Linked DNA regions of Coturnix japonica. The protein of the gene in region 3 interacts with the protein of the main gene of each other region in a pairwise test. Links are inferred from orthologs where the notes say so. Each region holds a gene or a part of one and is shown on either strand. Other genes may lie near its edges.

Region 1 (4,238 bases), on a different chromosome or scaffold from region 3:
AGCAGTTTCTCTCCAAATCATCAATTCATTTTCACCATGGCCTCATTTTAATAGAGCTCTCATTGACTGAGTCTCAGTGTTAGACGTGTTTGTTAAAATACTTTCAAACAGCCTTAATTCACACATAAAAGAGAACTCATCCCACCTGCAACCTCTTAAAGTCATCTTTATAGTGGAACACACTCATGACTTTGATGTATGTACATACAAGTTATTTTGCAGTCTAGCTACAAAACCTGCCTTTTAGGCCCTTGGGGTGTGTTTCACCACTTCAAGCTCTGTTAGTAGCTTACACAACCTGCCAAGACTTGCACTGATGGTGTTGAAGGTAAGAAGACAGGTGTCTGCAAGAGCCATATAAAGCAGAACAAGCTCTCAGCAGCAACAGCAAAACACCAATCACAGTTGCACTTTGTTTCCTCAGATTCACAATGGCTTTGCCTGAGTGAGGAGCTGCATCCAACAACATACACAGCAATTTCATCTGCCTCATCAGGAATGAGACCCTGTTGCTTCTTTGGTTCTACATAAAAATCCTTTATTTCCTCCTTTCTTTACTTATATGCATTTTGAAGAAAAGTATTCAGTAAGAGCCCAAAGACATCCTGGATTTGTTGGACTATATTTGCCCAACTGAATCTATTATGCCAGATAAAGTCATACAAATAGCATTCAACTTCAAACAGATTGGGCAATAACCACTCCCCAAAGCCTCACCCCTATACATTAGGGAAGGAAAAACTCAAGACGTCCCTTCCTATGAAATACACACCAAATCAAGAGCCAGTTTATGACCAAATTAATTACACAAACATGCTGTGCAGAACAAGGGCGTCATGTCTGTGGTCTTAATTCTGATAGTACAAAGTAAAAGTGGATAATCATAGAATTACCCAGGTTGGAAAAGACCTTGAAGATCATCAAGTCCAACTGTAGCCTAACCAGAACCTTAACTCTAAAAACCCTACACTAAATTGTATTCCTGAGCACCACATCCAAACGGCTCTTAAACACAACCAGGGATGGCGATTCAACCACCTCCCTGGGGAGCCTATTCCAGTACCTAACTAACTCATTCTACTAAATGAAGACATTTTGGCACTACCAGCCAGACACTAGATTTCCATCTGCCCCATTTACTACCTAAAACAAAAAACATTAGTTGAGAAATCAGTATTAAACTTAGTACCCAGCTTTCCTTAAAGAGAAAGCAATTGGAGATCAAGCAGTAAGGCAGTAATCAAACTCAAGGAGTGAAAGCAAGCACGCCTCACTAATCTTAGCAGTCCAAACCTTAAGGCTGGGTAGCAAACAATTTAGTTACTAGGACAGGCTACAGAAGCCCAACAGCTGTTTCTTTTGTAGCCTCACAGGGCCTGTAGCTGTTTGAAAGTTACTGTAACATGATACCAGACAAAAAGGAATTCAGCAAGTTTTTGCTCTGTGGGAGGAATTGTTTCCTGCCTTAGAACGACCTACAGTAACACCACTGAGCTGGGGTTACTATCGGACACACATTTGCCATCTAAATAAGTTGTTACTGTTAGCTCAGCTTCTTCCAGCACCAGTTTCTCATGGAATTAACTACATACATTACTGCTAGCTACTCACACCATTACTTTTTCTTTCTAGAAAGTGAATAACACGTCTAAATAGTGGATTTAAACTGAGTTTAACAGGGAATATCAGAAGACGGAAGAAATAGAGCCTCCACATAATCGTTTTCACAAGTTAACAAAACTGAGAACAAAATTAGCTTTGCTTACAGCCTTCTTTACCTTACCTTGTCTGTTCTTGTAAGATAAGATGCGGCTCTACAAAGAACTTGACTCTTAATTTAAACCGATAAGGAGCTAAACCATCCATCTGCTGGGAAATCCTGTTCCTCAGATTCAGCCATAGATTCTCCCCTTTGCTGCCAGTGAACTGCAGTCCGAAATAATCGACTTCTATGATCCCCAACCTTCTGCAAACCTGAAAGAAAGAGGTCGTTTATAAGGCACGAACGACACGATTAGACAAAGATACCCCGGCTCAAGTGTGAGCAGCTTGAAACGAGAGAGAAACCCTGTTTGCAAGCATCTTTATACGAGCAGATTTCCAAAGAGCGGCGTGCAAAGCGCTACGTAAACAAGCTGGCAACGTCCCCACTAGCCGACAACAACACGGACTTTATGACCCCCCGGGGGGGACAGGCTCAGCTTCACCCAGACACCACGCACAGACGGGGCGGCTCTTCCCGCAGCCCCAGCTACCGCGGGCCCCACCCGGGCGGCCTCGCAGCGGCCCGACGGGTCCTCCCGTGCCCCCCCCATCCCTCGGGGGGTATGGGGGGAGGTTGAGATGGGGCCGCAGCAGCGAGGCCGAGGCCTCCCCAGCCCCCCTCTCACCCCCTTGTTGGCCCGCCCTTCCCAAACAAGTGAAGGAGAAAGGCGATAACCAGCGCCGGGCCGGAGAGCGGCGAGGAGAGGGATGCGGGCAACCCGCATCCAACATGGAAGGGGGGGGGGGGGGGAAAAGGGAGAAAATAATGGGTTGGGGGGGGGGGGGAGACCGCCACCCGCCCCACTGGGGACGCCCCTCACCTGGTTGAGGCAGTCCTCGCCGTTGGCTTTCGCCTCTACCTCCACCTCCATCACCACCGCGTCCGGCCTGGTCACATAACACAGCATGGCTGGGGTCGGCCAGAGCTGCCACTGCACCGCACCGAACGGCTGCCAACGCCGGCACTGACGGGGAAGGGCGCTGTGCTTGCGGGCTGCGCCTCCCGCCGCCCACACCCGCACACCAACACAACGCAACCACTATCCACGCTCCGCTGCCGCCGCTCCCTCCTTATATACCCTCTGCCTCCCCCCTGCGCGGCACCTGCGGACCAATCGCGGGGCTCCGCTCTCCGCTGCGGGCCGCTCGGCCGCCAATCAGAGCAGCCGTCTTCTGGAGAACGGCTGCGGTTGATGTGGGGGGGCTGTGGGGCGCCCCCTGCCGGCCTGGGGGTGTGGTGAGGAAGGACGGGATGAGGATGGGGGAAGAGCAGGTTGGGTTTGGGAAAAAACAGTTCCTTTGAAGGGAATTTATGACAGGGAGATGAGCCACCAACACAAATCACCGAATATTTTGCCTTTTCCACTTGTTTCTTAGTTTATTTTGGAGTGGGGGCAGGAAAAGTTTGTTTTATTTCTGTTTTCTTGCACAGATGCAGCAGGAAGGCGAAGAAATCCTGGTAACAGGATGTTGGTTTTACCCAGCACCAAACAGTGATGGCCAGCTTACAGATAACAGGCATTCCTTACGCATCCATGCCACTCATGCACCACAAACTGGCTCTCCTTGTTTTCTGTATAGGTCTGGCTCCCCTCCTAGAGGCCTCATTTTCTGCATACATCAGCATACCTCCTGTGTTTTCTTCTTGTCTAACCTAACGCAGATGAAGGTGTTCTTATTATGTCTGTAGGAGCACTATCCTGCTTTGAAATCTAAGCCTAAAGCCACCAAAATAGCTTGTAGCACTAGATCGCATAAGTTGGTTAAGCCCTGTGCAAAACAAGCATTTTCAAGCGTGGCAGCAGGATGCTGCTGTCACAGAAATGCGTTCTTTTCTGCAGGCCCTCTGTGATGTTTTATTCATGCTGCAAGGAGACAGGAAAGAACCGTGTCCTATACTAACATACAAGGGAGAGCTCCGGCATTGAGAGTGCTTTGCAGTCTGTTGGGCTCTGCCTGAATGAAAAGCCCAAAGCCTCTTTCAGTCCCACTTAGGCTCTTTGGTGGGTCAGTACCACTCATAGAGGCACACTGACAGATGCATGCTCAACTATGGAGTATGGTAGAAGAGCATTGCTCAACAGCATGCCACCTTGGTGCCATACGTCATGACATACTTAGTGCTGCACCATAGCAATGCCTCCAGGATGGATCAATCTTTCACTACAGTAGTGAGTTGTGTATAAATTGCCCAGGTGTAATCCCTGTACAAGGTTCTTTTTTGGTCACACCCTATTTCACACAGTAGGTACTGTTTGTAGTGCCTCCTTGTCTGTCATTTCTATGGACAGCCTGTGAGAAAGCAATTGTGTGGAAAAGATAAGTTCCAGACCTTTGAACTTAGAGCCTTACACAGCAGTATTTGCTCTTGTTACCAATAAAGTCTAATATCTCTCCTTGTTTCTCTCACAAGGAAGTTGCCTCCAGGCTGTTGCCTGGATGCTCAATCTCATGAGGAGTCCAGTAGCGTAGTT
Region 2 (4,278 bases), on a different chromosome or scaffold from region 3:
ATGTTTTTATACACCTACTATGTCATAGGAGAAAAAAAAAAACCAATCACAAAGAGCTATAGGCTATCAGAAGCTTCAAACTGCAGGGTTTTCCCTAAGCCAGAGCTTCTTGGATATATCTGCTAACAGCCTAATGCCTAAGGAGAGCTGTGCCTTGGTTTGAAAGGTCTGCGTGTTGCTGGTACTTGGAGAGTACAAGAATTCCTGGATAAACTTGCTGAATACGTAACAGAAACAAAAAATCTTACCTTTCATCCAATGAGAGTTTCCAGTTAAATATAGTCCCAAAGCAAAGAAAAGCAGGCCGTGCTTTAGCATGACTAGATTCCCTGCAGACACCTGGCTCTCAGCTGCTCCACACGGAACTAGAAGAATGAGGAACAGTCTGCTCTGAAGGTAAACAACAGAAAAGGCTCTCGGATACTTCATCTCTGCTAAGGAAACCGGGAAGTAAAAGTTCATCCATTAGGCTTGCAAGAAAACTGGTTAAGCAGCTTAAGGCAAACAAAAAGCAGCGCTCTGAAATGCTGATTGGAGGCAGACAGCCACATCATGCCAGAACCGAGCTGGTTCCTTCTGAAGGACTTTGACTGTAACCACATAACAGAGGTTATGTGAGACTCAAAGTGTCAGGTCTTGCTAGCTGTGATATTTGAGACATTTATGTGCTCTCTGGAATTCCAGCTACTTGTTTTCTATTAGTTTATCTTAGAAATACTTAAATTGCAGTGCGTACCAACACAGCTACATCTAACACAGGGATTTCAGCCACACCCCCCCTGCATTAAGGATAATTCTCCTCACCAAAAGCCTGTGATTTTGAAGGCTTCATCGCTCTTCCAGGATCAGAATAACCTTCCAAAGCACCAAGCAACAACATCAGCATCAAGATTAGGAAGGAAATGAATGCTCCTAAAGCTGAGTGAACACACAACGCATTTCAGAAGCACTGAGCAGCCTTAGAAACCCAAACAGGAGACCCAGGCAACACAGCATTCACACTTAAGACATTTACATGAAGTAATTAATTTTAATGAATTGTAAATTAAAGCAGAGCGAAGCCGTTTCTCCTAGTGCTGGTCAGTAGCATGAAATAACGGCTCAAGTGCAAAAATAAAACAAAAGTCAGAGATATTAGCAGTCGTGTTGTACTGAATAAGGACAATGCAAATCCATCTTCCTATTCCACAGCCCTAATTCACCTCCCTCAGCCCACAAGAACTCGATATCCGAGCTCCCTAGACTCGTATCCACACCAAAACGTAAAGAGACTCCATAAGCCTGGATCCTACTGCAAATTAAACGAGCTCAATCTTTAATTCATGCTCTGCTCTCTACGTGTCACACTATTAACATGCCATAAGCACAACAAGGCGATACAAAACTCCATCAACTCCTGAAGCACTGAGGAGAGCTCAAGCCCGCCCCGCGCATGCGCATTGCCCCGGCCTGGTGATGGCGAGCGGCGGCGCTCTGGGCCTTGCGCCTGCCCTGCATGGCGTGACCGTGGGCTGCTCGTGGCCCTGCGAGCCGCCCGACGGCCTGACCCGGGCTCTATGTGTGCGGAGCGGGGCGGGCTGCGATGAAACGAGGTGAGGGAGGACGAGGAGGAGGTAGCAGAAGCCCTGCGGCCGAGGGGCGGCGGAGGGCCGGGGTGGGGAGGCGGCCTGGAGAGGCAACGCGGCTCTCCCCGCTTCCCTCCTCAGCTGTGAGGCCGTGGTGGTGGTGGAGCGGCGGGATGGCGGCGGGGGTACGCCGTGTGTGCTGCAGCTGGAGTGCCGGAACGGAGCACAGCGGGTGGAGAAGGTCGGTGTGGTGAGCGAGGCCCGGCACATGGAGGTGTACGTGGGAGAGGAGTACTGCGGGACCGGCCGTGGGATGAGCGCTGGAGGCATGCAGCCCCCGGGGTGAGTGAGGAAACACAGCTGGGAGCTGATGGATTTTATTTGTTTTTAATTGGTTGTGAGGCACGTCTGCTTAATGAGTTAAATGAAAACTGTCATTTGCAGCTGTGCTGACCCGTGCTGTGCACACACACAAGGAATCACAACATTAAAACTGCCGCACTGCCCTAAGAAATACGTGTGGTGTCACAGATTGCTCCTTTTGTTTTTGCAGTGAAACTGAAAGTGTGAGTTTATACGAAAAGTATCTGAAATTGGAATGCCCGGCGACCTCTTGTAGGATTAAGGTAGGGAGTTTGGTGGAAATCTATCACTTCTCGTTGTCTTTTCCCGTCCTTGGAGGTGTTCAAGACCAGGTTGGATGGGGCCCTGGGCAACCTGATCTATGGGGTCTCTATGGGGATCTATGGGGTCTCCTGGGCAACCTGATGTAGTAAAGGTGTATGTTCGGTGGCCCTGCCAGGCAGGGGGGTTGGAACTACATGATCCTTGAGGTCCCTTCCAACCCAGGTCATTCTGTGTGATATTCAATCATTTGATTGGCTAAATTGCATTACCCTTCCCCCAATTACTGTTATTTCTATACCATAATCACATTACCACTTAAGACTGTTGTATGGCCTTTATAGCTCTCTTAATTTTCTATCTATGAAGTCACATATGAGAAAGTTGTTACCTCATACAGAAATGCCTTCATAAACCAAATACATTATAGGCAATCTGCAGTTGTAATATAATCAGAACTACTAACTACACTGTGAATGTGTACACTGGTAATGGGAACCCCGTGATGCAGATAAATAAGCTTAGGAAAACCTATACAGCTATTGCTGTATTTAAGTACTAATTGATGCTTTGATCATGCAAGTAACTTCTGTTGAGTCAGAATTCTGACCAAGAGAAAGAAATCAACTTGAATTCCTAACGTATTCATGCAAAGAAACCATTGAATTGTGTTTTTTTCCTTCCTAACCAAGATACCTTTTTTCCTTCTTGCAATAGCTGCTCTCCATTGGTGAGAAACAAAGGGTACTCATCAGTAAGATAATTGTACAAGTGAATACAGTTTCAGCAAAACTAGCAACTGATTTTCCTTCACTAGGATCAAGCATAGATCTAGACAGAGTGCAAACTATAATGGACTCTATGGGATCCAAGTTGTCTCCAGGTGCTCAGCAACTCATGGACATGGTTCGATATCAGCAGAAAGTAAGTTACTGTGCTGCTCCATAGACATCAATAGCGCTGTTCTGTGACTTTGCCTCCTGTGACAGTTAAGCACCTTCTAAGCTGATTCAGTGGAAAAAGTTCTGGTTGTTTTTGGCTTTCCTGTTGCTGCTCTTAAATGCTGCAGTGAATTAAGAACTCAAGGAGTCACATAAAGATCAGAGTTAAGAGCGTTGCATCATTGTCATCATTTTCATCTCCACTGTCGCCCTGTTGTCCGCTTGTCCATTTCACTTGTCACTTCTTGTGATTTCTTCATTGGTGGACATGTTTCTTGTTGCGCTTGGGGTGTAAGTAGATGGATGAGTTTGACTTTGTTGTTATTAAATGCATGACATGAAGTAAGTGAAGTTGTTTTGTTACTCAGAGCAACAAGGTAACAAGCACAGCACATGCAAGGAAAGTTTTTCTATGCTTTGCCCTATGAATATAATTCACAGCTACTTTTTAAGTCATTATATCATGCTAGTAGAATGCTCTAATCACTTGGAGTTAAACTTGTAGCCTGGGTGCTGTTACAGCACAACCTTCAGTATATTTTAGCACTTAATGTTTAAATGTACCTTTCTTCTTCCCATCAGAACAGTTTACCTCTTGGAGACAAACTTAGTTGGATGTTTGGGAAGAACTCAGACTTTGGAAACAAGCATCCGGTAGATGGATTACATGGTGCAGCCATTCAGACATCACTACATCAATCAGTCACTGAATCTTCATCAGTCAGAAGTCCTTTAACAAGTGAAACAGGATGTGAAAACTTAAATCTTGATCTGAAAGCACAGGTTCCTGAAGGAGAGGATGTTTCTAACTCTAAAGAACTTAATACACAGCAGAATACAGCTGACCTCAGAAATTATTTCAAAGCTATGGGGTCTTTGCTTATGCAGGAGCAAACAGATGGAATGCGGAACGTAGCTGCCCCACAGATGCTCCTTCCTTTTCTTCAGAACTTATGCAGTCAAGTTAATCATCTTCGGCTAAAAGACAGTGAAAGGCATCTCGATAAAAGCGTGGTGACTAAAGAAGAGGGCATTCAAACTGTTGGGTAAGTTAACTTAACTAGCAGCTTGTGCGTATTAGCAAGTCTAAATGAGTACACAAGCATTTTATTCTCACTGTTTGTACCAACAGTGCAGCTAGTTTGATA
Region 3 (4,041 bases):
TAACCCAAGAAAGATCCTACCTACAAGCTAGTAATAAGAAAGGAACAGCTTACTCCTCACTCCCAGGGCCTCATCCAACCTGGCCTTGACCACCACTAAGGGATGGGCTGATTAAAACATAGAGCTTAGAGATCAAAAGGGGCAGACATCCAGGCAAGCCTGCGCCACCACAACAACCTGATGGACACAGCAGCTGCTGGCAGCACATCAGAGCATCCTGGTCCAGCCCAACCTGCACCCACAGAGCAGGCAGCATCTCTCGTTGCCAAGCCAGGAGCCAACAGCCACTTGTACTGTTACATGCAAAAGAGAGCGCGGTCAGTATGAAAACACATGACAGGTTTAGCCTATGAACTTTGTGAATATAAATCCTGACCCTGAAAACGTTTACATGCAGGCTTAGCGCTAAGCCTAAGAACAGGCCCACTAATTCCAAAAGAAATACTTGGATGCTTAGAATTAAACATATGTAAGTACACAGATCTGTAGAATTGGGGACAGAAAAAAGCACACACCACAATTTGATGGGTTTTTATTGCTCTGTGGATACCACAGTGTAGCAAGTACATCATTCATGATATTTACAAGAATTTTCATCTGCAACATGCCCTGCAGCTCCTCAGCAAACGCCACTGACCTAATAAAACAATTAAGAACCACAAGACTTGACGGTGCCATGTTAAGTTGTTTCTGCAGACCAAACCAACTGAGAATTTTCCAGTCCCGGAGACAGGCCACAGCTGCATCTGATCAGTCACCAGGCGCCTCTTACACCAGGGAGCATCTTAGCACAGCACGAGTGCTGCTTTCTTACCCATTGCAGACCATAATATCTCACGGCTTTTTAAGCAAGCAGCATCGGGCTGATTTATGACACCAATTTGTATTAATCCAATATCTAATATATATCATACGCTTAAACACTTCACTTTTAAAGTGATATCACTGGTTACCACATCTCCTTAACAGTAGCTTTCAGCTACATCAAGCCATTCATTTTAAGAGCACAGGAAAAAGTGAGATTTTAAAAAGAGGGGGGATATTTTCCAGTGTTATAGCTGGAAGCCAACAAACCTCTACTGCTTTCAGTGAGACAAGCGCACAAACAGACCCCCAGTTTGAGGCTCAGAGGCCACGCAGTGCGGGTAAAGGCTCATGGCAATGCCAGGTTTTACTGAGGTCACCAAGGCTCCTGTGAGAGCAAATGCCCAATGTACACAAAAACCAGCAGTATCAAAGCCAGCATTTATGCGTAATAGGTTTTCATAGGCTTCATTTTTAAATGAACCTCACTGTCTCAAGAGAGCAGAACTTTTCACCCAGGAAGCTGCGGGCATTTCTCTTGCAAAGTCCACTGTTAAGCTGCAGCTTAATATTAAATGATGCTTTGGTTAATGAAAGATGTAAGCCTGCCTTAGGCAATAATGTTGATTTAACCATTGTAGACCCAAGTCCAAGGCCCTGGATTATCTCTTGCTGAAGTCACAGACCAGAACTAGAAGCCAGGACAGTTACAAGTTCATTATAGAAAGCTCTCATTAAAGAAAAAAATGTGCATTTTATAGGCACTTATTCCAAGATTTTAGAATTTCAATAATACAAGCACTTAAAAGCATGATATTTTTCTTTAATATAAAGAACTTCAAAAGCCAACAAAACCTTAGTTGAGCACAACTGCAATCCTTACAATTCCCTGCATTTGGAGTCAACCATATAGAACTGGCTTCAGGAAAGAGGGGATTCCTCACTTTAGAAGTCAATGCAAGAAGGTCCCAGTCGGTTTTGTTGTTCCCAAAGGTGTGCTCACAAACCTTGTCTCTGGAGGGATGGTAATGAAGTCACGGCAGCATATGGCACCGCCGTGTTTGCTCCCAAGTGCACAGCCGCTAACCGGAGCCATCTGATGCTCCCCCTAAGCTCCCTGATCTGCGGTGGGATTGAAGCTTACAGCAAAGCTTCGTGGAGCCCAAAGGAAGACAATGGTTTGCAGACACACAGAAATCACTCATTTACTTTAACGGGGGCCCAGCTCGGATCTGGGTCTCTGCTGAGCAAAAGCTCTGATGCGTTTACGAGCAGGAGTGCATTTCCAGAGAGCATCAAACACGACCCAAAGCCGATCCGTGTCATTTTCCCGTCGCACACAGAGAGCAACGAGATCACGTAATTAAAATAGGAATTAAACGAAGCTCGGGCGTACTTAATGGTGGATTCCTACAGCAGGAAACAACCAACGCCCCGCACCGGGAGCGTGGTCACAGGAGCCCCATGGGGCCGAGCAGCCTGTCAGTGCCATAGCACTCCCTACCCGCTCGGCTGAGCACCAACACACAGCGAGGAGCAGTAACACGGCACGCCTCGGGAAAGTTCACAAGGCGCCGCACTGCAAGTTTTCCAACCGCACCTTCGGTTTAAACGAGAGGGGAGAGAAAAGAGCAGCCTGGCATCGATGTGTGCGCTCCGGCGCTGCCCACAACTCTCCCTGCCCTCCGCCCTCCCCAGGCAGCGGTAACGCGACTCCGGAGTCACGGCTCCAGCACAACTCCCCGAAGCGGCCCGGCGCTGCTCTCCCCCTCCCGCACTTGTTGCGGCCCCGCAGGCCCCGCCGCAGGCCCGGCCCTGTCCCGGGGGAGGCCCCCGCCCCGCGGAGCGCAACGAGGGGCCGGGCCGCCCCCAGGGGACCGAGCGCGTTGCGGGGCACGGACTTACCACGGCGGCACCCGGCTCCTCACGGCGGCAGCCGAACTCCGGGCGGCCACTCGGCGCGGCGCCTCCCTCCCCACCGCCCGGCCCCGCTCCCCGCCTCCCCCGGGGCAGCGTAAGTGACGCCGCGCTCCGCCACTCCGGCGGCAGCCCCGGGGCGCGGGGCCGGGCGCGGGGCCGGCTCAGCCTATGGCGGAGCGGCCGAGGCGGGACGCACCGCAGCCCCGGGCCGGGAGGGACCCTCCGCCCTACGGAGCGCAACCCGGGGCGGGGCGGGGCGGGGCGGGGCGGGGTGGGCAGCGCTGCCGCCAGGGCTCCATCCCCGCCCCGCCCGGCACCGCCCCCTCCCCGCCGGATCCGGAGCTGCGCCTGCTCGCTCCGCCTCGAGGAGCTGGGCTGAGAGCGGCTATGGCGTCTGTGTCAGCGTGAGGAGCCGGGCTGTAGTCTGCCATGGAGGAGGATCTGGAGTTGGAGAGGTGAGGGGCGGCCGTACTGTGCTGCGGGTTCTCCTTCGCTCTGGGCTGCGCTTGTAGGGCCAGTGAGGCCTTGGGGCTGGTCCTGTGTCGGCTCCCGGCCTGTAGGGCCTGGCTTGTGCGGCCTGTGCTCGGCCCTGAGCCCTCAGCCCATTGCTACGCATCTCTGCGTAATGCGGACCGCTCTTGTAATGTCATTTATACGCGAGAGATTTAAAAGTCGTATAAATGGGTGGTTAAAGTTATTTGGTTAACGCGTAGAGGCTGAACTTTTTGCAAGCAGCTGCATGGAACTGTTACAGCGAAGTGATGGCTGAGAATCTCATGGTTCCGTCTCATAACTTTTAAGAAATGTGTTTGAGAGTGCTGATGGGAAGGCCTGCTAAAAAGGACCTGGGGGTACTGCTGGATCACAGGCTAAACATGAGCAGCAATGTGCCCTGGCAATCTAGAAGGCCAACCTGTGCTGCATCCAAAGCAACATGGCCAGCTGGCCAAGGGAGTGATCCTGCCCCTCTGCTCTGTGCTGGTGAGGTCTCACCTGAAGTACTGGAGAGACATGGAGCTGTTGGAGCACATCCAGAGGAGGGCCACAGAATGACCCAGGGGATGGAATGCCTTCCTACAAGGACAGGCTGAGAGAGCTGGGGCTGTTCAGCCTGGAGAAGAGAAGGCTCCAGGATGACCTGAGAATGGCCTTTCAGTATGTGAAGGGGGTCTATAAGAAAGAAGGGGACAGATGCTTTAACAGAGTCTGTTGCAGTAGGACAGGGGGATATGGTTTCAAAGCAAGAGAGTGGAGACATAGATTGGATGTAAGGAAGAAGTTCCTTTACAATCATTGTGGTGAGGCACTGGCACAGGT

What was found.
Region 1: the proteins of LNX2 (region 3) and MYLIP interact in binary tests that used the Homo sapiens proteins (3 or more experiments, as listed by UniProt). The link is inferred for Coturnix japonica from reciprocal best matches to the Homo sapiens genes LNX2 and MYLIP.
Region 2: the proteins of LNX2 (region 3) and C6H10orf88 interact in binary tests that used the Homo sapiens proteins (3 or more experiments, as listed by UniProt). The link is inferred for Coturnix japonica from reciprocal best matches to the Homo sapiens genes LNX2 and C10orf88.

The regions. Positions count from the first base shown.
Region 1 is NC_029517.1:67,510,845-67,515,082, forward strand, and holds the start of MYLIP (E3 ubiquitin-protein ligase MYLIP), read right to left. Parts: upstream 2,824-4,238; 5' UTR 2,673-2,823; coding exon 2,586-2,672; intron 1,975-2,585; coding exon 1,784-1,974; intron 1-1,783. UniProt on the Homo sapiens protein: E3 ubiquitin-protein ligase that mediates ubiquitination and subsequent proteasomal degradation of myosin regulatory light chain (MRLC), LDLR, VLDLR and LRP8. Activity depends on E2 enzymes of the UBE2D family.
Region 2 is NC_029521.1:27,968,757-27,973,034, reverse strand, and holds the start of C6H10orf88 (ATPase PAAT), read left to right. Parts: upstream 1-1,455; coding exon 1,456-1,592; intron 1,593-1,706; coding exon 1,707-1,907; intron 1,908-2,118; coding exon 2,119-2,191; intron 2,192-2,906; coding exon 2,907-3,113; intron 3,114-3,712; coding exon 3,713-4,176; intron 4,177-4,278. Other genes in the region: disintegrin and metalloproteinase domain-containing protein 9-like, read right to left, coding at 249-462. UniProt on the Homo sapiens protein: ATPase that regulates mitochondrial ABC transporters ABCB7, ABCB8/MITOSUR and ABCB10. Regulates mitochondrial ferric concentration and heme biosynthesis and plays a role in the maintenance of mitochondrial homeostasis and cell survival.
Region 3 is NC_029516.1:157,558,913-157,562,953, reverse strand, and holds the start of LNX2 (ligand of Numb protein X 2), read right to left. Parts: upstream 2,833-4,041; 5' UTR 2,710-2,832; intron 1-2,709. Other genes in the region: protein POLR1D, read left to right, coding at 3,154-3,179.